2 linked regions of the Kluyveromyces lactis genome follow. The protein of the gene in region 2 interacts with the protein of the main gene of each other region in a biochemical or structural test. Links are inferred from orthologs where the notes say so. Each region holds a gene or a part of one and is shown on either strand. Other genes may lie near its edges. The genes, in order: IST3 and BUD13.

Region 1 (11,757 bases), on a different chromosome or scaffold from region 2:
GGAAAATGGCTTTCGTTGGCTCTACATGCTACTAATAAGTATCATAAGATTGGTTTGGACTGGCCAACGCTACCCCTAGAGCAGAAATGCCGTTTTTATTTCGAATCAACATTGGAAATAAACCCAACATGGAATAATGATCATATTAAAGACTTCCATAACGACAATAATTTGGATGACCCCTTGGCAGAGCTTATGTTAGAACGGATAAGGATGTATGATTCTTGTTTCATCAGTGGAGGTTTATCCACATCCAAGGTGTTCAAGAGATCAGTCGTGAAGCCAAACGATCTTGAATCGAGATTATTCCCTTTCCTCTCAAAGAAGACACCATTCAGACATTTGTGGCCTAAAATGATACATGTCAATCCTTGGACGTTGATTCCTTCTTTTAGTAACCCATTGTTAGAAGGTAAAGACACCTGGAAAATGGATGATAATTATTCATTCTTCTATAATTGGAATAATTTTGCAGAGGGGAAGGGAATTGTACTGACATTGGGGCTGAGGCACGGTGACCAGTTCAAGAAGTTACTTCTCACTTTGGAGAATTTAAATAATACACTTCCAATACAAGTTATTCACAACGGATCTGAGCTTACTGAAGCCTTCATTTACGACATTCATTCATTCTTAAACGCAAAAAAATTATCACAGCAGGTTTATTTTGTCAATATTGAACCGTTAATCGATGCTTCATTCGTTGGTCAATACGTCCATTATTTCATAAATAAATGGATGGCATTATTGTTCAATACCTTTTCTGAATGTATTCTACTGGATGCGGACTCTGTGTCATTTGCCAGTCTTGAATCCTATTTTGATTTCAAAGGTTATCAGGACACTGGCATGCTGTTATTCAGAGACAGAAATATTATAGGCGAGAAAACTTTTATTTATTGTACAGATACATTAAAGAAGCTTTTCCCGTCTGTAGAAGAAACCCATTTCATGAGCCATAGATCTACTTTCCCCCTCGAACTTGTGGAGAATGATAATATCAATATCGATACTCTATCTATGGAAGAGCAGATATACTATAAGTTCTTCCATAACTTACAACTACATCACATAGATAGTGGATTAGTTGTAGTTGATCGAGTTAAAAAATTATCTAGTCTACTCATCTCAACTATGATGAATATCGATGGTAAGCTTCAAAGATGCGTTTACGGCGATAAAGAAATATTTTGGCTTGGCCAATTGCTCGCCGGAGAGAAATATTCTATATACCCAACTGAAGGTTCCATCATGGGTACCGTTAAAAACAAGCCTGATGATACTTTTGAAATATGTGGCACCCAAATGGCTCACGTCAGCACAGAAGGTACTTTACTATGGTCCAACGGTGGGTTGAAGAAGTGTAAGGTACAAGACTGTGCCGTGGCTGATTTCGACCACGACCCTGACTATTTCCAAGAGAAATACGGCAACCCTGTTGCCTTACAGCAAATGTATGATTCTTCATTATCTATCAGTGGTTATATCACGCCGAATGTTGGGCAATATCCCTGGGAAAAAATCAAGGAGTGTCATCAGTACACTTATTGTGCCACAGCAAAAGAAAACGTAGGAACCATAGTCAAATTCGATACCGATACTATTTCACGTTTACAATCTGTTTCGGATATCTGGAATTCAAACGTCAAACTTGATGATAACATGGAAATATAGTAGTGTCTTCATCTCCAACGCCATTAACTTGATCTTTTTTTTTCCTGTTCTTACCAACCCCCCTGGCCTTTTGATATTTTGATCATAGTGTAACTGTCATGGTGTAGTAGAGGTATTCATTAAAACACTTCCTCTGTCACCATCCTGTACTTACGTAGTTTAACTTAAACTTTTAAACAGATGTCTAAAGTGACATCAGCCGTATTATGTACCCTATACCCGCACAACTTGCTCCAGAATCATGCGAAGATAGCTCACGAAGTTTCCCCGAGGTGTAATCTGCTTTATAGACGCAGTATCACTCTCGGACTCGAGTGTTCTTGTAGTATCCGTCCACTGACACTGACGCTTCGATATTCTTCGTATTTTGTGATCATCGAATAGGAGACTTTGACGAAATTCTTGGTTGAAATGATTCCCCATTCAAAGGGTTTAAAGACAACTTTGATCTTGATTTAGGAGGTGCGAATCGCAGTATTGCTCAGCGAGTTCAAGGGTCAACCAACCATTTACTAATTGCTATGTACAACCAGTACCAGCAGCAGCCCCAGCAGCCGCAGCAATTTGGTGGGCAACAGCAATTCAATGCCCAACCTCAGTCAACTGGTTATGGGAATTTTTATCAACAACAGGTCCCTACTCAGGGCCAGCAGCAGCAATTCAGTGGATTTCAAACCTTTAGCAACGCTGGCGCTTTGAATCAACAGCCTACAGGTTTCAGTCAACAAACACAGGCGCAGCCACAACAGCCACAGCAACAACAACCACAATCACAACCACAACAAGGCATGCAACAACCATTCGGTAATCAGCAACAACAAATGCCACTGACCCAACAATTGACGGGATTCAATTCTATGATGCCGCAAACATCCTTTGGTCAGCCTCAACAACAAATGCCAATGAACACGTCTTTCAATCAAGGGATGAGCACTACTGCTGTCAATGCACCAACAGGTCCGTTACAGCCTCAACAGACTGGCTTCTATTCTCAGCAGCAGCCTTTGGAACCTTTGAAGCCAACCGCCACCGGTTTCATCAATTCCTTCGCGAATACTGGTGTTGACAACACTTTGAAGATTCCTGCCATTAGATTGTCTTTCATTACCACTCAGGATCAGGCCAAATTTGAGAAGTTGTTTAGATCGGTTGTCACTCCTGGTTCCAACACTATAACTGGTGACCAGTGCAGAAATATCTTGGTCAAATCTGGCTTACAGCCTCATCAATTGGCCAAAATTTGGACTCTCTCAGATACTAATAAGGCTGGTGTGCTTCTCTTCCCAGAATTTGCATTGGCAATGTATCTAGTCAATTCTGTATTGCAAGGTGATTCCATTCCTTATGAGTTGGATTCGAGAACCAAGGCGGAGGTTTCCAGTTTTGTTGATGCTATTAACTTCAGTGTTTCGAATGATTCGGAAGTCGAACAAAAACCTAAGACACCGTTCGATGACTTGACTGCTGGAATATCAATGATGCAACCCCAGCCTACTGGCTATATGCCACAGCTATCGTTCGGAAGTCAGCCTCAGCAGATGCAGCAACAACAACAACAACAACAACAACAACCGCAGCAACAAAGTTTCCAGGGTTTGACTCAGCAACCAACTGGTGGGTATGGAGCAGCACCTCAGACTTCTTTTGGTAACACTTCCCAAGCTTTACAACCACAATCCACGGGTTTCATGCCTCAAAATTCCTTCAATCAACCGTTGAACGCTCAAACCACTGGTGGATTTAGCTCTGTTTTGAACATACCACCACCAGGGTCAATGCCGCAAACATCTTTCACACAGCAAGCTCCAATGCAGACAAGTTTGGCTACTGGAGGTGGATTTTTGCAACCACAAGCTACTGGATACTTACCTCCATCCAATTTTCAAGCAACTGCGCCACTTCAAGCTCAGAAGACAGGATTTGGTAACAACGATCTTTACACTTCAGCTAATCTTGCTTCTAAGTTCATTGCAAGAAAGGAAGAGGCCATCACTCCAGAAGAAAAATCATTGTTTTACAAGATTTTTGAGACTTATGATGTTGAGAAAACAGGGAACCTTGACTCTGCAACTGCTGTTGAAATTTTCCGTAAATCTGGTTTGAACAGGTCAGACCTAGAACATATCTGGAATCTATGTGATACAAACAATAGTGGTAACTTGAACAAACAAGAATTCGCACTTGGTATGCATCTAGTTTATCGCAGGTTGAACGGTGAGGTTCTACCAAATACGTTGCCTCCAAGTCTAATTCCATCCTCGACAAAGATTTTAAACACAGTCAAAGATCAATTGAAACAAGGTGTTGATAAAAATAATAGACAGCCAACTAAGGAAGATGGTTTGAGATTTAGAAACAACGATGACGAATTACTGCCAAGTTCGAGAAATCGTAGAAAGACAATCGATCAGTCTAAGAAGGTTAATGAGAATAAGGAGAAGATTGAAAACTTAAAGAACTTAATTAGGGAAAAGAAGGAATTGCTTGCCTCGGAAAAATTAAGATTGGAAAATGACTCGCAAAGAAAGCAGTCTGAAAATGCTGATCTATTACGGTCAATTGAAAATTTGAAATCTCAAATTCAAGCGTTGCCCTCAACCTCAAAAAAATCACCTTCTGCAAACAATGCTGTGCCACATGATTTACAATCCAGATTTGATACTTTGACAGCCAGAATTCCAAACCTTTTTAAAGAAATTTCTGATGTGAGCAAAGAATTGGTTTCAAGTCAGTTGGCATTGCACCACTTGAAGGTAGATCATCCAATCCGTGGTAGTGGCCCAAACTGTAAAATCACTGAGTTAGACTGTAAGAATGCAAGGCAAAGACTGACCCTGACTGCAGGAATGTGTACTTTAGTCGGTAGACCTGAACCAAATTACGATAATTTGGAGGCACAAGCACAACATTTCAACGAAGGAATTGAAACTATCGAAAAAGATGATCAAAAGAACCAATCTGCCATCAATAACATCAGTACCTGGATTCAAGAGATCTCTTCTTCGGTGCAAGCTATAATTCACGGAAGAACTCCTTCAATGGGCCTCGAAATGGATAAATGGGAATCTGGTATCGGTCTAGAACCAGAAGTCAGAGACTTTATCATATCTTGGAAAAACAGAAGAAACTTCGATAATTCTTCTTACAATACCGCAGGATACTCCAACGGTATTCAAATCTCTTCTTCAGCAACCTATAGAAACAACGCTCGTGCGCCTGAAGAAAAAGACTCGTACTCAAGTTTCCAAACACCTGAAGAAAGATCTGCATATGTCAAAGAACAAGCTAAAAAGAAGATGGAAGAAAAATTGGCAGCATTAGGAATCAAAAAGAAATCAGGGAGTTCACAATCATCACCTAATCCTCCACAATTGACTCAGCAACAACAGCCTCAACAGCAGCAGCAGCAGCAGCAGCAGCAGCAGCAACAGCAGCAACAGCAACCTAACTATTACCAACAACCCAGTCAACCTGCTGCTGCGGTAAACAACTCCAATCTACCAAAAGCTAACGACGATGATGATGAAGATGAGGAGGACGAGGAGGAGAGAAGATTGTTAGAACAATTAGAAAAACTGAAACTGAAGAAAAAACAAGAAAAAGAAGCTAGATTAGCAGCCAAGCGTCAAACCAGCTCATCACCAGCAGAAACTAAGAATGATAACGGTCATGACTCCTGGGATGATGAACCTACACCAACAAACCCTACTGGAAACCAATCACAAGCCGGATCACATCACCAATATAATCCATTTGGCAAGAGTGAAGCAACACAGCAAAAACCCGCCTCTGGTGCTGGTACCCCACAATTGAATAACACTCCAACTGGTGGCAGAAATCCATTTTTCAAGCAAGCTCCTTCACAATCATCTTCGTTTGATCTGAAGGCAGCTGAACAGCAGAGAAGGGTTCAACGAGGCTTGGATGACAGTGACGGATGGTCAGATGATGACGAAACAGAGAAGGTAAATACTACAGCCAACAAAGCTGTTGATGTCAGTAGTACCGCTGTTCCTGCTACATCTACCGCGTCCGTTCCTGTGGCACCATCTCTCCCACAGATTTCTGCAACCACTCAAGAACAATCGTCTGTCGCTGTTCCTATTGCACCACCTTTGCCTTTAGTTAAAAGCGAATCATCCCTGATCCCACCTCCACCTCCATTGCCTACGTCGATTACTGAAGGGTCTGGTGCCCCACCAGTACCTATCGCCCCACCATTGCCTCAAATAAACAGTGACGTAGCACCTGCTGTTCCTGTGGCAGCTCCTTTACTAAAAGTAGGAGGAACTGCAACTTTAGCAGAGAACGAAGAACCAAAGCCGGATGATGCATCCGACGTACTATCTATCCCAGAGTCGGTGGCCTCTGATGAGGAAGATAAGTTCCATACACCAGGTGCTGAAGATGTATCTGTCGCACCTACTGGCGCAATCCCTCCCGCTCCTCCCGCTCCTCCAGTGCCGGTCATCCCTCCACCACCACCGATGCCATAAGTTATATGCTCTCGCGTCCGTAAATTCATGTATCTAAATTATTGAAAAGTAGTTACAGGATATGTACATAAATATCATTTGAAACTAAAAGTCTACGTTGTCATAAAAGAACTGCTCCGTACTTGTTCCTTTAGGAATGTGAATTTCATTTCTTCAGAAACGCAGCCATTGGATCAGCAAACTCATCCAACGGGTCAGCCACCGATTCTTGCTTCATGGGTTCACTCGGTACGTCTCCTGTTTTTGCGAAATCCTTCTCCAACTCTTGTCTTACAGCTTCCTCGTACTCAGCTTCATCGGATCTTGGCCTATAAAAAGCATGATCTACTCGTATCAGTCTTCCACAAACCTTGGCTCCATTTAGGTTATCCACCGCAAGTATAGTCGATCTTTGATCTTCATACTTGAGAAACCCGAACCCTTTAGATTTTCCAGTTGTCTGGTCGCGTACAAGTTTGATGTCCACAGGACAGCCGTACTGGGAGAATATGGTGAGAATATCAGCTTCTGTCAATTCGAGGTGCATCCCTCCAAAGTTTATGTAGGCCTGATCTTTATACTCATGATGCCATGAGCTTTCTGGCTTTAGAATCCCACATTCCAACTCCCTTTCACTAAGTTTCTGTATCGACCTTATCTGATTCATAATTGATAATCGTATTGGATCTTCACTTCCAAATATTCACAGTTGAACCAGCCTCCCAATGACCGCAAAGTACCAGCTCTATTGGTTATTCCTTATCCTTTCTATCAGAAAATTGCAGCTCCTTTTCGGTAACCGTCAAATTCTTCTCCGGTTCCTCCATTCGTGCGTAACACCTTCAATTGTCTTCTTGTTCTTATATAAACGAACTTTCAAGAAACTTATTCAAATCTTTAACACCTTTAAATTATCAACACTTTTCCATCGCTCGAAAGAAGTTAAATCCAGAGTTTATGCACTACCGGGATCGCTGCTGAATTATAATTCCCACACGCAGAATGTCAGAGTATCTTGCAAGGTTGAGACATTTCACTACTTGTGACATCTCAGATGGGCTATTGAATTTGTATGGAATCACTAATGGTGGATATTTCCCTAATTTGGTGAGAAGGTCAGGGTCTGGGACTATCGTGGGTAGGGCTTTTCCTGTGTTGTTCGGGCATAAAAATGCTACCCAAGATAAACCCAGTGTCAATTACATCGATAATGTGCCAGCAGAATCTATCGTAACCATCGGTATGACTGAAGATTTACAATTGAGCAGTGCTCCATATACCAAACCTATTCAGGGCATGTACGGTGGATTAATGTCTACAAGAGCAAAATATTTAGGCAGCCATGGTACGGTTGTATTTGGTAGAATCAGAGATATCGAAGAGCATAAGGCATTGGATCACAGCGTTTTCAGTTACGGTATCGGTACCTGTGCTCCAAAAGCAGTTTTGAAACCGATTTCGTATAACTGTGAGTTGAAGATTAAGATTAGCGATGGCACTACGGAGACAATTAATCCCGGCGATTATTTGGTATGTGATGATCATGGAATGGTTCGTATTCCAACTGCCGCCGTCGACTTAGATAAGTTGATCACATATATAGAAAAGTCTATCGAAGCCGATGACCTTGTTTCTCAAGACATAAAGGAGGGAAAACCTGCTGCTCAGTCTCAATCAGAACGTAGAGCAATTCTTAAACAATATTTGTAATTTACAGCCCTCCCCCGTTGATCGTCAGGAGTTGCAATATTCGGTTGCGTAGTCGAAAGTTTATCGCTATGTTAAATTAATATTATTGTCAATTAAGTAGCAAGCTATGTATGTATATATGAACATGATGCAGAAATAAAGAATGAAAAAACAAGAATTGGCAAGTGTTTATGCTATTATTAGGTAGGAAGCACTCGGTTTGAGAATATTTTGTATTCACTGTTTATTGGCAGTGCTGCTAGTGTGATGCTTATGACCCTTTTTCTTGCTTGCTTCCGCCACGAGCTCTTCAAACACTTGGGCATCCTCTTGTTCTGTTTTCGTCCGGTATGCCCTTCTGAAAACTTTCCCAAGTCTTTTCAAAGCCTCAGCTCTTCTTATCCTTGTTGACATCTCGGCGGTCTCATCTTCTAGAACTTTATCACATACGCTTCTTAAAGTTGACATGATCTCGAATTTTGAGCCGTACCATGCGGCTGAAAGGACTTTACCCATTAATAACTGCTCCAATTGTGCTAACTCTTCCACAGTTGGTTTTTCAACAACGTTTCCAGCTTCATCCTTTAGTGGTTCCTCCGAGTTCGCAGTTTCCTTTAATTTCTCCAACTCAGTCATGGTAGATTGAGCATCTAAGGCTGCAGAAACGGTCCGTACGGTATCCATCACTAAGCCACCTTTAGCCTTTACTGAATGGTAAAAACCTCCAAAACCCCATAAATATTGTGATTTCAAGAATATGTTCGCCTTTTCACAATAGATTTCACCTATTGTATGCAAGATATCTAATCCAAACGATTCCATCTTCAACATGTTCGCCTCTTCTTCGAATTTTTTATCAAATGACTCCTTGCAAGCATCATCGTATGCACTTTCCGTTAGTATGGACAAACGGTCCGATAACGTCTTACTGAGCTCTTCTATACTCTTCTCTTTATCTAACATTTGCTGCTCTTCGAACTCTTCTAGCTTACCCTTTTTCTTAGTCTCGGGATTGGACGAATCATCGCCTCCTGATGTTAGCTTCTTGGCAGTTCCATTATTAGTGCTATCCTCAGCAGATTTAGTGTCATCATCACCATTAGATGCATTGTTATTATTATTCAAATTATGAGCTTGCTGAGTGGCCTTTTCACTTGCTTCTTGTTCCTTTGCTCTTTCGTCCTCTTCACTTAACTCTTGTGTGTTTTGAATATTCTTCAACAACGTTAATTCCCCAATATAAGACGTAAATGCCTCACCACCGAATATCGCAGCAAACTGTTCACCTGCATCCTCGAAGCCATTCTTAGGCATAGCTTCTTCTTTACCGAACTTATCGTACTTCATACGTAACTCCTCGCTACTCAAGACTTGATAAGCTTCAGAAATAGCTTGAAATCTTTCAGTTGCTGTGGGATCATCGGGATTTTTGTCTGGATGCTCCTTCACTGATTTTTTTCTGTACGCTTTCTTGATATCAATCTGTTTGGCATCCGTAGCTACGCCTAGCAAGTCATAATATGTCGTGTCTACCACCATTCTTTTACTATAGATCCTAAATGCTCTTCTTTCTAGACCGTTTACCTCAGTTATAGCACCAAACCAAAAGCTCCAAACACTCTTAGATATACGAATGTACCTTTCAAAAGCCTGAAACGTTGCTCGAGTGATAATATGTGCTCTTCAACAACGCTGTCAACTCATCAATGACTACTAAAATCATTATGTATCGCCTTGTTGGTGCATTTGATATTGATATCGAGTTTTATCTGGGTCGAGTAATAAAGTGCGGGTAACTTTTAATAGGTATATTCAAAGATACAAGAACTCCCCTGTATCGGCACCAGGGTATACCTGCTAGACGTTATCTATGGACTTAGCTACTAGATGTTAGTGTTACTTTTCAAATGTATGAGTATTTAGTTCAAGCTGTGGGAGTTTCTACTTCGGTATCTTCATCATAAGTTTCAGCGATAAAAGCCGTAGGATTCGATTCTTCCGTATCCAAAGCGATTTCTTCTGCTTCAGGCTCTGCTTCAGGCGCTGCTTCTGCTTCCTCATGTACTTCTTCTTCATGTTCCACATTCTGTGCAATGGACGGATCTGAAGTATGCTGTATTTCAGACTCATCGCTGTTTCCAGACTCAGAAATTATTTGCAGAGGTTCTTCTGGTGAGGCTTCGTTCAGATCTTCTGCTTCAACATCTTCAAGGCCAGCTGGTTCAGATGGCGCAATTGCTTCCCCTGCAGTCAATTCTGCCTCCATTGGTTGATCATCAGCCCGTTCCGGCAAGTCGGGCTTGAAAGATATAGTCCATGCCTTTACGACAGATATATTAGACGTGGATTTCGTTTCCACTTTTTCAATTGAGGCAACAGTTTTTGGTAGACGTTTATGTGGTCCTCTGGTCTTCTTAGAACGGGCTGGGACCTTAGGTAATTCAGCCTCATCTTTTGTATTCTTAGTTTCAACTTCAGCGCCAGTTTCGGCATCATCTGACGATGTGGAAACACCTAATCTTTTAGCTAAAGCTGGGGTCAGTTGCGCCATTCCAGGTAGAGCAATCATCCCATTCAAATTCTGAGCAAATTGAGCTCTGTTTCCGGAGAATCCACCAGTCTTAGGAGCAGCTGGCTCCTTAGGGCTAGGAGTGTGTTCCGGTTGGAGTTGTTGATTTTGGAACATTTGTTGGAAAGCTGCAATCTTAGAGGAAGGTTTCTTTGGTACAGGTGGAGATTTTCCTTGTTTCTTCTTTTGAGTAGCTGGAGAGCCTTCTTTTGGTGACGTGTTACTTGGGATCGCCTCTTTAGATGAAACATTGCCCGGGGTCACCTCTTTGAATAAAGGCTTGGCATTTACCGAGGAATCCTCTGGAGTTTCCTCTGATGTTGCTTCTGAGGTTTCCTTTTGTTCTTCCTTGGGTGCCTCCTTGGCACCTTCGGTGAGATTCGCAGTGGATGACAACTGGTCAACACTAACTTGCGTTTTCTCTGGAGGTACCTCTGGAGATGCCTCTGGAGATACCTCTGAAGATTCTTCTCGAGCTGCCTCTACAACTGCCTCTGAAGCATCCTCGGGTGTTTCCTTGGGTTCTTCAGCAATGTCTGCCTCAGACTCTTCACACACGGAGGGCACAATCGCTTCCGCAAGTGTCTTATCGTCCGTTTGAATAATTGGCTCTTCCTTAACTGGTTTTTCAAGCTCCTCGTCTTGAATCGCTTCATCACCGATTAGTTCCGGAGATGCAACTTCTTTGCACTCCTCTTCTACTGGCTCATCCGCAAAATCGTCAATAATCTGCTCTTCTAGAGATTCCTTGATCGTGGATTCCTCCGGTAATAACTCCCCAGATGGTTCTACTTCTTGTGTTACAGGCTCGTCCAGTTCTACCTCGTCTAAAACTGGTTGTTCTACAGGTAGTTTCGCTTCCAGTTCGTCAACAATCGGATGTTCTACGGTGGGTTCAGTTTCAATAACGGCCTCTGGCTGCAATTGAGCCTGAATTTGTGGCTCTGGCTTCACTGAAACATCATCTGAACTAGCGTGTGCACTGCTACTCGCCAGAGGTTTCCTATTAGGTCTGGTTTTTGGCACCGGAGGCAAGTCCAACTCGGAATCCTTTGATCCACTCTTCTCTCTCTCAAATTCTGACTCCGAACGCAACTGCTCAGGCTCTTCTGAACGAGTAATTCTTCTCCTTGGCCTCTCAGGCACTTTGGGAATCACCTGCTCCATCTCTATAACACTTGTTGCCCGTCTAAACACTGGCTAATACCCCAGATCTCCCTTTCGAACCACACACTGGATCGGAAACAGTCTGGCTTTAATAGGGGACTTCGTTTTATATAGGTAAGAGTCCACTATTTTGATATCACGTGATAATTAAAGATTTATATTGTATGATACTTACATGTATAA
Region 2 (12,094 bases):
ATGCTTTTTCTTTACTTTAGAAAGGAGACCTTGATCCCTCTCCTGCAATGTTATTTTATTTTTAAATTGCTAATCTTTCAATGATAAGCGCAAATCCCTCGTCCAGCTAACACTATACCTCGATGAAACGTACCTGCTCTCTCTTTAAATGTCTGTTTAGCTTTGCTGAACAAGTGGTCTGCTAAAATAATACTTGGCAAACACCGTCATTTATATATAGTATATGTATTTATTCTTGGAGATTAATTAAATTAGTGAAGAATCATGGTTTAATCATTTCGAGGGGAGAATCCATCAGAACGGAAATTTTACCCTGCCAACCGATGATTCAAAAAAAAAAAAAAAAAAAATTTGGCAAAAACACTCAAGTGCAATTTTTTCCCAAGAAACGGCAGTAAGAGGAGAAACAATACGTCGTTAGATGCAATACGGCTACGTGGGTTATTGATTATTAAACGTTGGTTGTTGTCCATATATAGCTATAAAAAAGAACGTGGTTTGCTAGCTTCTTATGAGCGTGCGAGCAAGAGTTGCATGGGCAGCCAGCCTAACCTGATCCCGATAAACCTCAGCTACCGAGCTGCTCTCTTCTGAAGCGGCTTTGCAAGGGTTACGGATGATGGTGGTACGTAATTATAAAGTGGGTACGTCTTTGCTGGGTGACTGGAATTTCATGTTTCTGTAAGATTCTCGGGAGGGTAACAATAATGATTATGATAACACCCAAGGCCGTTCAACAGGGTCTGGGCCCTCCTCGAAACAAAACAAGTTTTGGGCCATGTATCATCATTATTTACGGATGTGTCGTGTGACACTGAGATCTTCGCTCTTATTTACCGTAATATACATATACCAATGCACATATCTGTGTGCTTTATATGTATAAATATGTAAATATAAAATATACCATCCTAATTACCTGTATTTCATTCTGCATCATATTGTAGTATACGATTTGTATAAAAAAGTTCAAAAGCTTATTATCCTTTAAGGTTAAAGATAAAAATCAACACTTGTGGCACTTGTGTTTCTTCTCGTGTCTTCGTAAATTGCTCTTGACATTGTAGCTCTTGTTACAATCAAGATATGTACATTTGAACGGTTTCGCCTGTGAATGCACCACTATATGTGTTTTCAAAGTGCTTGGACGAGAGAATTCTTTCCCGCAAATGTGGCATTTCTTACAGTGTATTTTCTTCTTGTAACGAGCCCCACGTCCTTGCTTTTGGTTCCATTCGTGGATGTACCCGGGTTCTGGTCTATCGTGCAGTAGCTTTTCTTGCAATTGTTTGAAATCTAACTCAGACAATGAATCTGTGGAAGAGCATGAAGAGTCTGAGTGGGCTCTGGGCCTAAATATTGCGTCACTTGTGTCTATCTTATTTTCAGCTTTTACTTTTTTCTCATCGGCAATGGTCAACGGGGGACTTATCGAGAGTTTAGTTATTGGAGGTAACGTCCTTGGTGTATCATCGAAATTGTCTGTGTCTGTGTAGTTTACTAAGTTACGAATGGATGGAAGAAGCGAAAATTGGTTACAACTTAGTGTCGCTCTGCCTCGATTTTCTGCCATTTCCTTTGGGCTCTTGGGTAGTGGTAAAATCATCTTCTTATCCATTATGTTTGGTTTTATTTTTATGTTATCTTTTTATTTGCGTCAGCGTGTGCTGATCTTATCCCACGGCCTTTTACGTCTCCTCCGCTGGTCAACTCCCGTAAAGAAAATGCTTTTTATATGCATATATATATATATATTTATACACTGTTACATGGCTTCAGACATGTGCCAAGCGGGTTTACTAGAAACCTACCAAGAATGTCACTAGATTGCCGTTATGATTGGCATATATAAAACACGTTTTTCCCTTGCTCATGACTCGTGGTCCCTCGAGTGGAAGAGAACAAAAATTAATTCCCAACAAAGTACGCAGTACTTTCCAATCATTACCACGTGAACTTGAACCCACATGCAGCACCATGCACGGTCTTTTCTTGATAAAGACCGTGCTTTTCTAACAATTTCCTTTTCGTTTTACTTAAGATGAGGTACCTTATTAACATTACGCAGATCCATGTTCGGCGTATTTGGTTCCACGTGGGAAATTCACGTGTTGGCTGATAAGCTAGTTATCATTTCGGGACGCCCTGGGTTTTTTAAAAAGGTCTGAAAGTCATTTGCATCCCCGAAATCTGATTTTGGACGATTACCCCTCCTGTTACCCGGACATGCGACGGGGAAATAGACATGATCTGGCCCAAGATGTTCCGTCATAACTGGGAGAGAACCTCTGTGCTGTAGGCCTGATGAAGACATACTTTAGAAACGAAATACACATACATATATATCCTGGAAAAACTGTTTACGTATGGTATATATCAAATTTTACCCTGAATCACACATCACATTCTTACCCTTAAGAGATCAAGTATTTTATGGTATTGGTGGCGAAGCTTATCAGAGGATTTGTACCAAATCCTAGGCACGGAAAACTTGCGCAAATGTGGGAATTCAAGTGGGTACATTTTCCTCATTTTTCTCTGGTACCTATGGATAGCAGCTTGTAAATTTACTCTGAACTTGAATAGTGATTGTCGTTGACGGGGCCATTGCGTCTCCTTGTAGCTATCGAATCTCTGTTTAGTTAGCGAGTAGAAAGCAGTGATCCGGTCTTCTGCTGTTTCCTTCGCATTCTTCGTCCATTCCTTAACGCTTTCGAAGTTTTCACGCCTCACCGTTGTACTGACCCAGTTAGAAGTTGCTGCATAAGTAAATTTCAACTTCTTCTGACATACTTCGTAATATTGCTCAAGAGAAGGGAAGCTAGGGTAATATGATGCTAAAGTGGATGGAAGTGGCGTTTTCTTCACGTATGCTGCTTCGTATGCATGGGCCCTATGGCCCATGTATGCATCAAATTGACAAGCCAATCTGTCCTTGAAAGCTAGTGAACTACACTCTAACTCGTTGTTTTTAGTAAAACTGTTAATATCACGGATGAAAACGGTCAAGAGGCCCATGTTGATGAGACCGGCCACCAACGAAATTCCAAGAATAACGGATTGAAGTTTCGTCAAGCGCGCTGTCCATGTATTGCTCCTTGCTGTTGTCTTTGCAGGCGCAACGTTGGATAATGAATCCAGTGGCGTGGATAACGACGTAGTATTGTTACTATGATTAACGCTCCCTTTCTTATTCTGCAACACTGCGGAATCCTCTAAGTCGCTGCTTGTCACCGATAAAATATCGTCCATTTCACCAGCGTCAAGATCCCTGATGGAATATGTACCGTCCACACCACCAACGACCCCCCAAGTGTCATTTCCATCCACTGATGTACATCTATCTTTTACTTCAGCCATCGCTTCGCTTTAATCAAAAAAAAAATCTCCTAGCTCCTTGATTTTACGCCTGAAGCTTGATCTACAATAAGTTTATACTGACAGAATTAATACTAAAATGTCACACTTAATATGTCTCTGATATTCCAATAATGATAGTTAGTTGCCAGCAACGTTCTAAAATTCTTATCAGTCCTATATATATTTCTTGAGTATAATCACAAAACCAGGACGCCTTTCCTTTGTTCTTTGTTTCACATTTTCGTTTCCGGGAAAACTGTTACTCCTTGTTAACCATTTTTTAATCCTTATTCCTTTTATATTTGTCGTATCAAATTCCCTTTTTTCACAACTCATTGACCTAAATAAGGAAGGGAAGATAAAGGGAGCCTGAGAAGAGAAGACTGCGAAGAGACAAGTGGCAGATGCGGTGCAGGTGCAGTGCATGTGCAGGAGTTAGTGATCTGCATCAATAGGTAATATGTTCTTGAACGCTTTCTTTTTTTATAGTATTAAAAGAATAATATCGACTATTTAACTATTATTTCTTTACACTTCTGATGCAGTTCTGCTATTCTTTCAGCTGTATCCATGAATAGTTTGAACTCTTCGATTAGAACGCTGACGATAATGTTAACACCGACCTTGGTATCATCATCTTCGGATGAATCGTTCCCAAAGAGATCATTCTCTAGACCTGACACTGCGTCGTCAATATTGCTTAGAGTGTCGTTGTAGTCATTTAATTTGTGTTTGTATGTGATTAATTTTTCCTGGAAGAACTTATCTATCTCAACGTTTGATATTTTGAATCCCTTACTGACTAGTTGTTGCAACATTATAGCAAAATTTTCCAATTGTTTAACATCTTTATCCACTAGTGTCTTGATGGCATCGATTCGTTTCAAATCTGATGATAGTGATCTTGTTGCGTTGAAATGCAATTTTTGTAGATACTTGATGTCACGAGGGATTGAATCCAATAGTTCAGTTTGATCTTGTAGATCAGCTTCAAGATGTTTGGATAAAGACACTTGCGTTCTAATGAATTGGTCCAATTGTTCGATTTCTTGACGAATTTGAATCGGAAGCTCCGATATCTTGGTCATCGGCGTGATAGCTAATTGGTTAATGAAATTAATGGCACTCTGTTGAGTCTGTTGTATCTGTTGTTGTGGTGGCTGTTGAAATTGATTTTGTGTTTGTCCAAACATTCCTAAACCAGATTGTTGGGATTGCTGTTGTTGATTTCCGAATGGGCCTCCGGTAGTTGGTTTGGATCCAAACAATCCTCCACCAGTTGCAGAGCCTCCGAAACCGGTAGTCTGTGGTTGTGCTGGTTTGGATCCAAATAATCCTCCTCCAGTTCCAGAGCTTCCAAAACCAGTGGTCTGTGGTTGTGCTGACTTATTCCCGAATAAGCCTCCGCCAGACCCGGCTCCTGAGTTACCAAATAGGCCACCTGTGGAGCCAGTGGCTGTATTATTAGAACTTCCGAAAAGTCCTCCTGCGGTTTGGTTCGTATTGTTGTTGGTGCCTGCTGGATTACTGCCAAATAATCCTCCGCCAGTCTGTGTCGCTGTATTGTTATTGTTTCCAAATAACCCTCCTCCAGTGTTACCTGATGTGGCATTGTTATTACCAAAAAGACCACCGCTAGTGCTTTGCTGGTTGCCCGTATTCCCAAATAATCCTCCTCCTGTGCTTGGTCCTACTGGAGGACCTGTAGAAGAAGAACGGCCAAACATTTCGTTTCTATCAGTAATAAGAGTATTAGATATTTACACGCCGTAAATTCAGTTAATTCAACTTACTGTTCAGTATCAATTGGTGTCTCAATTCTGCTCTCTCCATCTTTCTTTTTAACCTCATCTGTTTACTTTCTCAGTTTCCATATTCAAAATGTTTTCAACTCTTCCATCAAAGAGTATAAAACAAGAAAAAAAAGCTTGAACTTATGGATCCGGGTAACCCATAAACCTCGTCTCAAAAAATTTTGCCACCACCAAGAAAAATATTCCGATTGAACATTGGAAAGAATTACCAAATTACCTTAACGATTATGTTACTAAACAGTAGCTTTGGTTAATGTACTTTCAGGGTCTTTCATCCATATCAGGGTATATTATAACAATTCACTAAAAGTGGTTACTCATTGTTCGGCAACGTATACTACTGGTACTATCCAATCCCAGTTGTTGTTGATCTTTTCTATTGTTGGAGGAAAAAAGTCAGTAAAGCAAACCTCAGAAAGTGTTCAATTAATTACGGTTTGTGGCTTAACTAAAAATGGGTATTCCAAAATTCTTTCATTTCATCTCTGAGAGATGGCCTCAAATTTCTCAATTGATCGATGGATCACAGATTCCAGAGTTCGACAATTTGTACTTGGATATGAATTCTATTTTGCATAATTGTACGCATGGTGATGGTAGCGAGGTGAATTCAAGACTATCAGAGGAAGAAGTTTATTCCAAAATTTTCAGTTATATTGATCATCTTTTCCATACTATTAAACCAAAACAGACATTTTATATGGCAATCGATGGTGTGGCCCCAAGAGCAAAGATGAACCAACAAAGAGCTCGTAGATTCAGAACTGCCATGGATGCCGAAAAGGCTTTGCAGAAGGCCATTGAAAATGGTGACGAGTTGCCTAAGGGAGAGCCATTTGATTCCAACGCTATTACCCCAGGAACAGAATTTATGGCAAAATTAACCGAGAATTTGAAATATTTCATCCATGACAAGATCACCAACGATACCAGATGGCAGAACGTGAAGGTTATTTTCTCCGGGCATGAGGTTCCTGGTGAAGGTGAACATAAGATCATGGATTACATCAGAGCAATTAGAGCACAAGAGGATTACAATCCAAATACAAGACATTGTATCTACGGGTTAGATGCTGATTTGATCATCCTAGGTTTATCCACCCATGATCACCACTTTTGTTTATTAAGAGAAGAAGTTACTTTTGGTAAACGTTCGTCTTCTGTGAAAACTCTAGAAACACAGAACTTCTTCTTGTTGCATTTGTCTATCTTGAGAGAATATTTGGCATTAGAGTTCGAAGAAATAACAGATTCTGTGCAGTTTGAATACGACTTTGAAAGAGTATTAGATGATTTCATCTTTGTATTATTTACCATCGGTAATGATTTCTTACCAAATTTGCCCGATTTGCATTTGAAAAAAGGTGCATTCCCTGTGCTATTACAAACTTTTAAAGAAGCTCTCCAACATATGGATGGTTACATTAATGAACAAGGTAAGATAAATTTGGCAAGATTTTCCATTTGGTTGAAGTACTTGTCCGATTTTGAATACCTTAACTTTGAGAAGAAAGATATTGACGTTGAATGGTTCAATCAACAACTTGAAAATATTTCCTTGGAAGGTGAGCGTAAACGTACTAGGATGGGTAAAAAGTTGTTGATGAAACAACAAAAGAAATTGATTGGCGCCGTAAAACCATGGTTATTGAAAACCGTTCAACGGAAGGTCACTTCTGAATTACAGGATGCCGATTTCGAAATTTTCCCTCTTGAGGATAAAGAATTGGTTCGGGCCAACCTGGATTTCTTGAAGGAATTCGCATTTGATTTGGGTTTAATTCTTGCTCATTCTAAATCAAAAGATTTGTACTACTTCAAGTTGGATTTAGACTCCATCAATGTGCAAGAAACAGATGAAGAGCATGAAGCCCGTATTCACGAAACAAGACGTTCTATTAAGAAATATGAACAAGGTATTATTATTGCATCTGAAGAAGAATTAGAAGAAGAGCGTGAAATTTATAGCGAGAGATTCGTTGAGTGGAAAGATCAATACTATAAAGATAAATTAGATTTTTCCATCAATGATACTGATAGTCTAAAAGAAATGACAGAAAACTATGTCGGAGGTTTACAATGGGTTTTATACTACTATTATCGTGGATGTCCATCTTGGTCCTGGTATTACAGATATCATTACGCTCCTCGTATATCAGATGTGATCAAAGGTATAGATCAGAACATAGAATTTCACAAGGGACAGCCTTTCAAGCCCTTCCAACAATTGATGGCCGTCTTGCCTGAGAGATCAAAGAATTTGATTCCAGTTGTGTACAGACCACTCATGTATGATGAACACTCTCCTATCTTGGACTTCTATCCTAACGAAGTAGAGTTGGATCTAAATGGCAAAACAGCAGACTGGGAAGCTGTCGTCAAAATTTCATTCGTGGATCAAAAGCGTTTAGTAGAAGCAATGGCTCCTTATGATGCTAAGCTTTCTCCGGATGAAAAGAAAAGAAATTCGTTCGGAACTGATCTGATTTTCATATTCAATCCTCAGGTAGACACAGTTTACAAAACACCACTAGCGGGGTTGTTTAATGATATTGAACACAATCATTGTATCGAAAGGGAATTCATTCCAGAATCGATGGAAAACGTTAAGTTCTTATTTGGTTTGCCAAAGGGCGCTAAACTCGGAGCTAGCTCTTTGGCCGGTTTCCCATCCCTAAAGACACTACCACTAACTGCAGAGCTTGCTTATAATTCTTCTGTTGTCTTCAATTTCCCTTCTAAACAACAATCTATGGTGTTGCATATTCAGGACCTTTACAAGGAAAATGGCATCTCTCTGTCAGATCTAGCAAAAAGACATATGGGTAAGATTGTTTATTCAAGATGGCCGTTTCTAAGAGAATCTAAACTTTTGTCGTTGATTACAGAGGAAACTGTGTATGAAGGAGTTAAGTCAGGCAAATTAACAAAGGTCATTGAAAGAAAGCCTCAGGATTTTGAAAGGAAAGAATTTAGAGAGTTGAAGATGACTCTCAAATCGAATTATCAAAGGACAAAGGCCATTCTTTTGGATGACATTTCTGCTTTGGCTAAAGTGGTTCCAGTAAATGGATTGGTGAGAAACTCTGATGGTTCCTATTCTAAGTCTTTCAATGAAACTATCGAATACTATCCTTTACAATTAATCGTAGAGGACGTAAAAAATAAGGACGAAAGATATATTGAAAAAGAGCCGTTACCAATTAATAAAGAATTTCCAAAAGGTTCAAAAGTTGTGTTTTTAGGTGATTATGCGTATGGTGGGGAGGCGACCGTTGATGGTTATAATAGTGAGACTAGATTAAAACTTACAGTCAAAAAGGGTTCTCTCAGAGCAGAGCCTAACATCGGAAAAGTTAGAGCGAAATTGGATTCTCAAGCCTTGAGATTCTACCCAACACAAGTGTTTTCAAAAATAGCTCGTGTCCACCCTCTCTTCTTGTCAAAAATTACTTCAAGATATTTGGTCAATGATTCTAAAAAGAAAAGCCATAACGTCGGTTTGATGATCAAATTCAAAGCAAGAAATCAAAAAGTTCTCGGTTATGCCAGATGCAGCTCAAACAAATGGGAATACTCTGACGTCGCTCTTGGTTTGTTAGAGCAGTTCAGATCTACATTCCCTGAGTTCTTTGCGAAACTTTCTAACTCGAAGGAACAAGCAATTCCATCGATCACTGATCTCTTCCCTAACAAATCTAGCGCGGAAGCTGATTCCATTTTGAAAACAGTGGCTGATTGGCTCTCAGAAGCAAGAAAACCATTCGTGGTGGTGTCTTTGGAAAGTGATTCGCTAACCAAGGCTTCGATGGCAGCTGTTGAATCTGAAATCATAAAATACGTTTCTTTACCAGATTCAAGCGAGCAGAAGAAATTAGCTAAGGTCCCACGTGAGGCAATCTTAAATGCGGAATCGTCATATGTTCTATTGCGCTCCCAAAGGTTCCACTTAGGTGATAGGGTAATGTACATTCAAGATTCAGGCAAGGTTCCACTTCACAGCAAAGGTACTGTCGTTGGCTACACTTCAATTGGCAAGAACGTCTCAATCCAAGTTCTATTTGACAATGAAATAATTGCAGGAAACAACTTTGGTGGTAGGTTGCAGACCAGACGTGGTTTGGGATTGGACTCTTCCTTCTTATTAAACTTGTCTGATAGACAATTGGTATATCATTCAAAGGCATCGAAGAGTGCTGATAAGAAACCAAAAGCAGTTCCTAATGATAAGCAAGTCGCCCTCGCAAAAAAGAAGAGAGTGGAGGAACTCAAAAAAAAGCAAGCCCATGAGTTGTTAAATCATATCAAGAAGGATAACGCGGAATCAAATACCGAATCTGGATCCGCTCCGCAAATAGCAGTTAACACTTTAAATCCTTCGGCTGCTAACAACGTGTTCAATGCCGTCTTGAACCAAATCAAACCAGGTTCTCAACAGCAAATTCAACCACCTCCAGCAAATTCTCTGCCTTACAATTTCACTGTTCCCCCACATATGGTTCCTGGTGGTATTCCTCATCCTCTTATGATGCAGCCGCCTTTCATTCCGAATAATGAGCATATTGCTTATGCAGCTCCTCCTCAGTCACAACCTGTACAAAATCCACCATTAGATAAAGAGGCATCCAGGAATCTTAAGAATCTCCTAATTAGAGATGAGAATGGACGTACAGCAAATGTGGAGAATAAAGACTCAGATGATACAAAGAGATCTTCTCATTCTCGTGGCGGTCGTCGTGGCCGTAGTAATCGTGGTCGTGGTGCCTCCGGGAGGGGTGGTCATTTCAAAAATTCTCCTAAAAAAACTGAAACCTGAATGTTGGTTTGAATGGACTATTAACAGTAAATATTATATCACTTCAGTAAATAATGCTTAGTATATAAGAATAGAGACACTTTCAGGTTCAACTTTTCAAAATTCCCGGTTTGTTGTTTGTTCCTTTATTTTTTGATCAGCGATATCGTGACTCTTAGCAAACCACTTAGTTTCAAACCCATTTGATCTATCAACTCCATCCCATCTATAACCGGGAACGATACCGAACCGATTTTCTGGAAAGTTTTTCTCGTAAAGCCTTCGACCCAACAGTGACGTATTCGTTCCTCGCAGGGTGTTTCCTTGATTCAATGGATCTTCGGTTGATAATAATGCACTTTTCTCAGTTTTGCGATCAAGTTTTGATATTTGTACTTCGCCTATATTTCGTATTTTAAGTTCTTCTTCCTTACGTACTTTCGCTGTCAAATTAGCCTTTTCTCGAAGTTTCAATTCTTCTTCGTATCCATCTATTACCTTACCTTTTTCGTCTCTATATACTGTGTTCTGATTCTTCTTGAGAAGCCCTGATTTTTGCATAGAAAGTTTTTCCTTTTCTGCGATCTGCTTTTCCATCTCTTCTGCTGTCTGTAACCCAGCAAAGGCGCCTGACGACATCCTTTCCTTACTATCGTCCTTTTTGTCGACATCAACGTGTTGTACAAGTTCCAACTTTTCAGTTTCAAGGTTTTTCCAAAGAGACTTTCCTGTTTTATTTGAGCTTGCAGCCTTCTTGTTTTCTTCAGTAATAAGATTAGCCTTGTCAATAATATCAATATTTCTTGATGTGACTCTTTTAGACTCATCGCTCTTTCTGTGTGATGACTTATCCTTAGACTTTTTCGTCTTCTCTTTACCGTGCTTTGAGCCGTAAGACTTCGCCAAAAAATCGTTAAGTGACATTATATTAATTGGGTCGGTTTGCAATTCTACCCACCCTAAATGCTGTGATAAGCTCTACAGCTATGTAAACATCTGAGAATCTGCTTCTGTTGGGGAGCTCTATAGCCATGTTAGCCTTAATCTGAAATCAAAATAAGGTTTTCTTTTCCAGAAAAAAGCATAAAATATCAACAATGTAACTGTTAGTTCGATAAAGAGCTAAGGTTTCGCGTCACCACTTTGTACTGTAGCTAGTTTGTTAGACCCTTACTGTGGACACATATTGAGTTCTCAGGATTCTGCTTGGCAAGAATCTTTACTGCGATGAGTCAAGAATCAGAGGAAAGCCTAGAGGCATGGCTACATCGATTAGAATGGTCTCAGTTACTTTCTTTACAAAAACAATTAGTATCGGAAATGGATCGACGGTACGTCGAAATAATTCAGCCACAGGGACAGAATATTCAAGATGACTTGGATGAATACATGAAGGACGGTCTTAGCAGCTATGATGACCTCCCGTCTACTCAGTTTGATCCAATACATGTGAAGAAAAACGCGACTGTGAAAAGTACTATTGAACAAGAACACGCTGAACCATTGGCAAGAGAACGTAATCAAGGACTACAACGTGATTTAGAGCTGATGAGTTCCCCTTTGAAAGAAAACGAGATTATCCTTGATTCCCAAGCGTCAGACATCTTGAAGGAGAATGATATCAACATACAACATTCACATCAGAGTGTCATAGCAAAATCTAAACGTGGTAGGTCACCAATAAATGCAACTACTATGCCACAAGCTAATAGGAACAATGAGAAGGAGAATATTAAAAGGGGTAAAATCTCGGTTGATTTCTCCATAAATCCAATTACGAAGAAACCTTGGATCTATGAAGATTTCAAGATCAATGAACTAGTGTCCTCAAAAAATCGAGGAAGGGGATGCAAGAAATCCAATAAAGTAGCTCGTTTTCACGCTCAAGCTGGATCACCACTGAAAAGTAAACAAAACGTTGTACTAAACAGTACCGGGTTACTCGAAACTGTCGACGAAACTAGTGTGTCAGACAGGTCAAAAGTTCCCGACCTTCAGTTTCCTGACGATTCCTTCGATAATCTACGTGTTAGATCAAAATCTCCTCCTGGATATGGAAGGCTTAACTTCCCAACCACCCAAGAAAGATTGGACGACAAAGAGGAGTCGAGGAAATTGCTTTATC

What was found.
Region 1: the proteins of BUD13 (region 2) and IST3 form a complex in vitro, tested with the Saccharomyces cerevisiae proteins (4 studies listed by BioGRID, with this or other methods). The link is inferred for Kluyveromyces lactis from reciprocal best matches to the Saccharomyces cerevisiae genes BUD13 and IST3.

What each region holds. Positions count from the first base shown.
Region 1 is NC_006040.1:1,151,176-1,162,932, forward strand, and holds IST3 (U2 snRNP complex subunit IST3), read right to left. Parts: upstream 6,817-11,757; coding exon 6,316-6,816; downstream 1-6,315. Other genes in the region: KLLA0_D13376g (alpha-mannosyltransferase), read left to right, coding at 1-1,674; actin cytoskeleton-regulatory complex protein PAN1, read left to right, coding at 2,196-6,170; KLLA0_D13442g (bifunctional 4-hydroxy-4-methyl-2-oxoglutarate aldolase/oxaloacetate decarboxylase), read left to right, coding at 7,152-7,859; DJP1 (Djp1p), read right to left, coding at 8,076-9,377; AIM21 (Aim21p), read right to left, coding at 9,763-11,574. UniProt on the Saccharomyces cerevisiae protein: Required for pre-mRNA splicing and spliceosome assembly. As part of the pre-mRNA retention and splicing (RES) complex, required for nuclear pre-mRNA retention and efficient splicing. Required for MER1-activated splicing.
Region 2 is NC_006042.1:2,085,607-2,097,700, forward strand, and holds BUD13 (Bud13p), read right to left. Parts: upstream 10,894-12,094; coding exon 10,087-10,893; downstream 1-10,086. Other genes in the region: KLLA0_F22319g (uncharacterized protein), read right to left, coding at 1,007-1,618; KLLA0_F22341g (uncharacterized protein), read right to left, coding at 2,401-3,360; FG-nucleoporin NUP49, read right to left, coding at 3,870-5,087; chromatin-binding exonuclease XRN1, read left to right, coding at 5,629-9,990; ssDNA endodeoxyribonuclease SAE2, read left to right, coding at 11,197-12,094. UniProt on the Saccharomyces cerevisiae protein: Required for efficient splicing and pre-mRNA nuclear retention. May also be involved in positioning the proximal bud pole signal.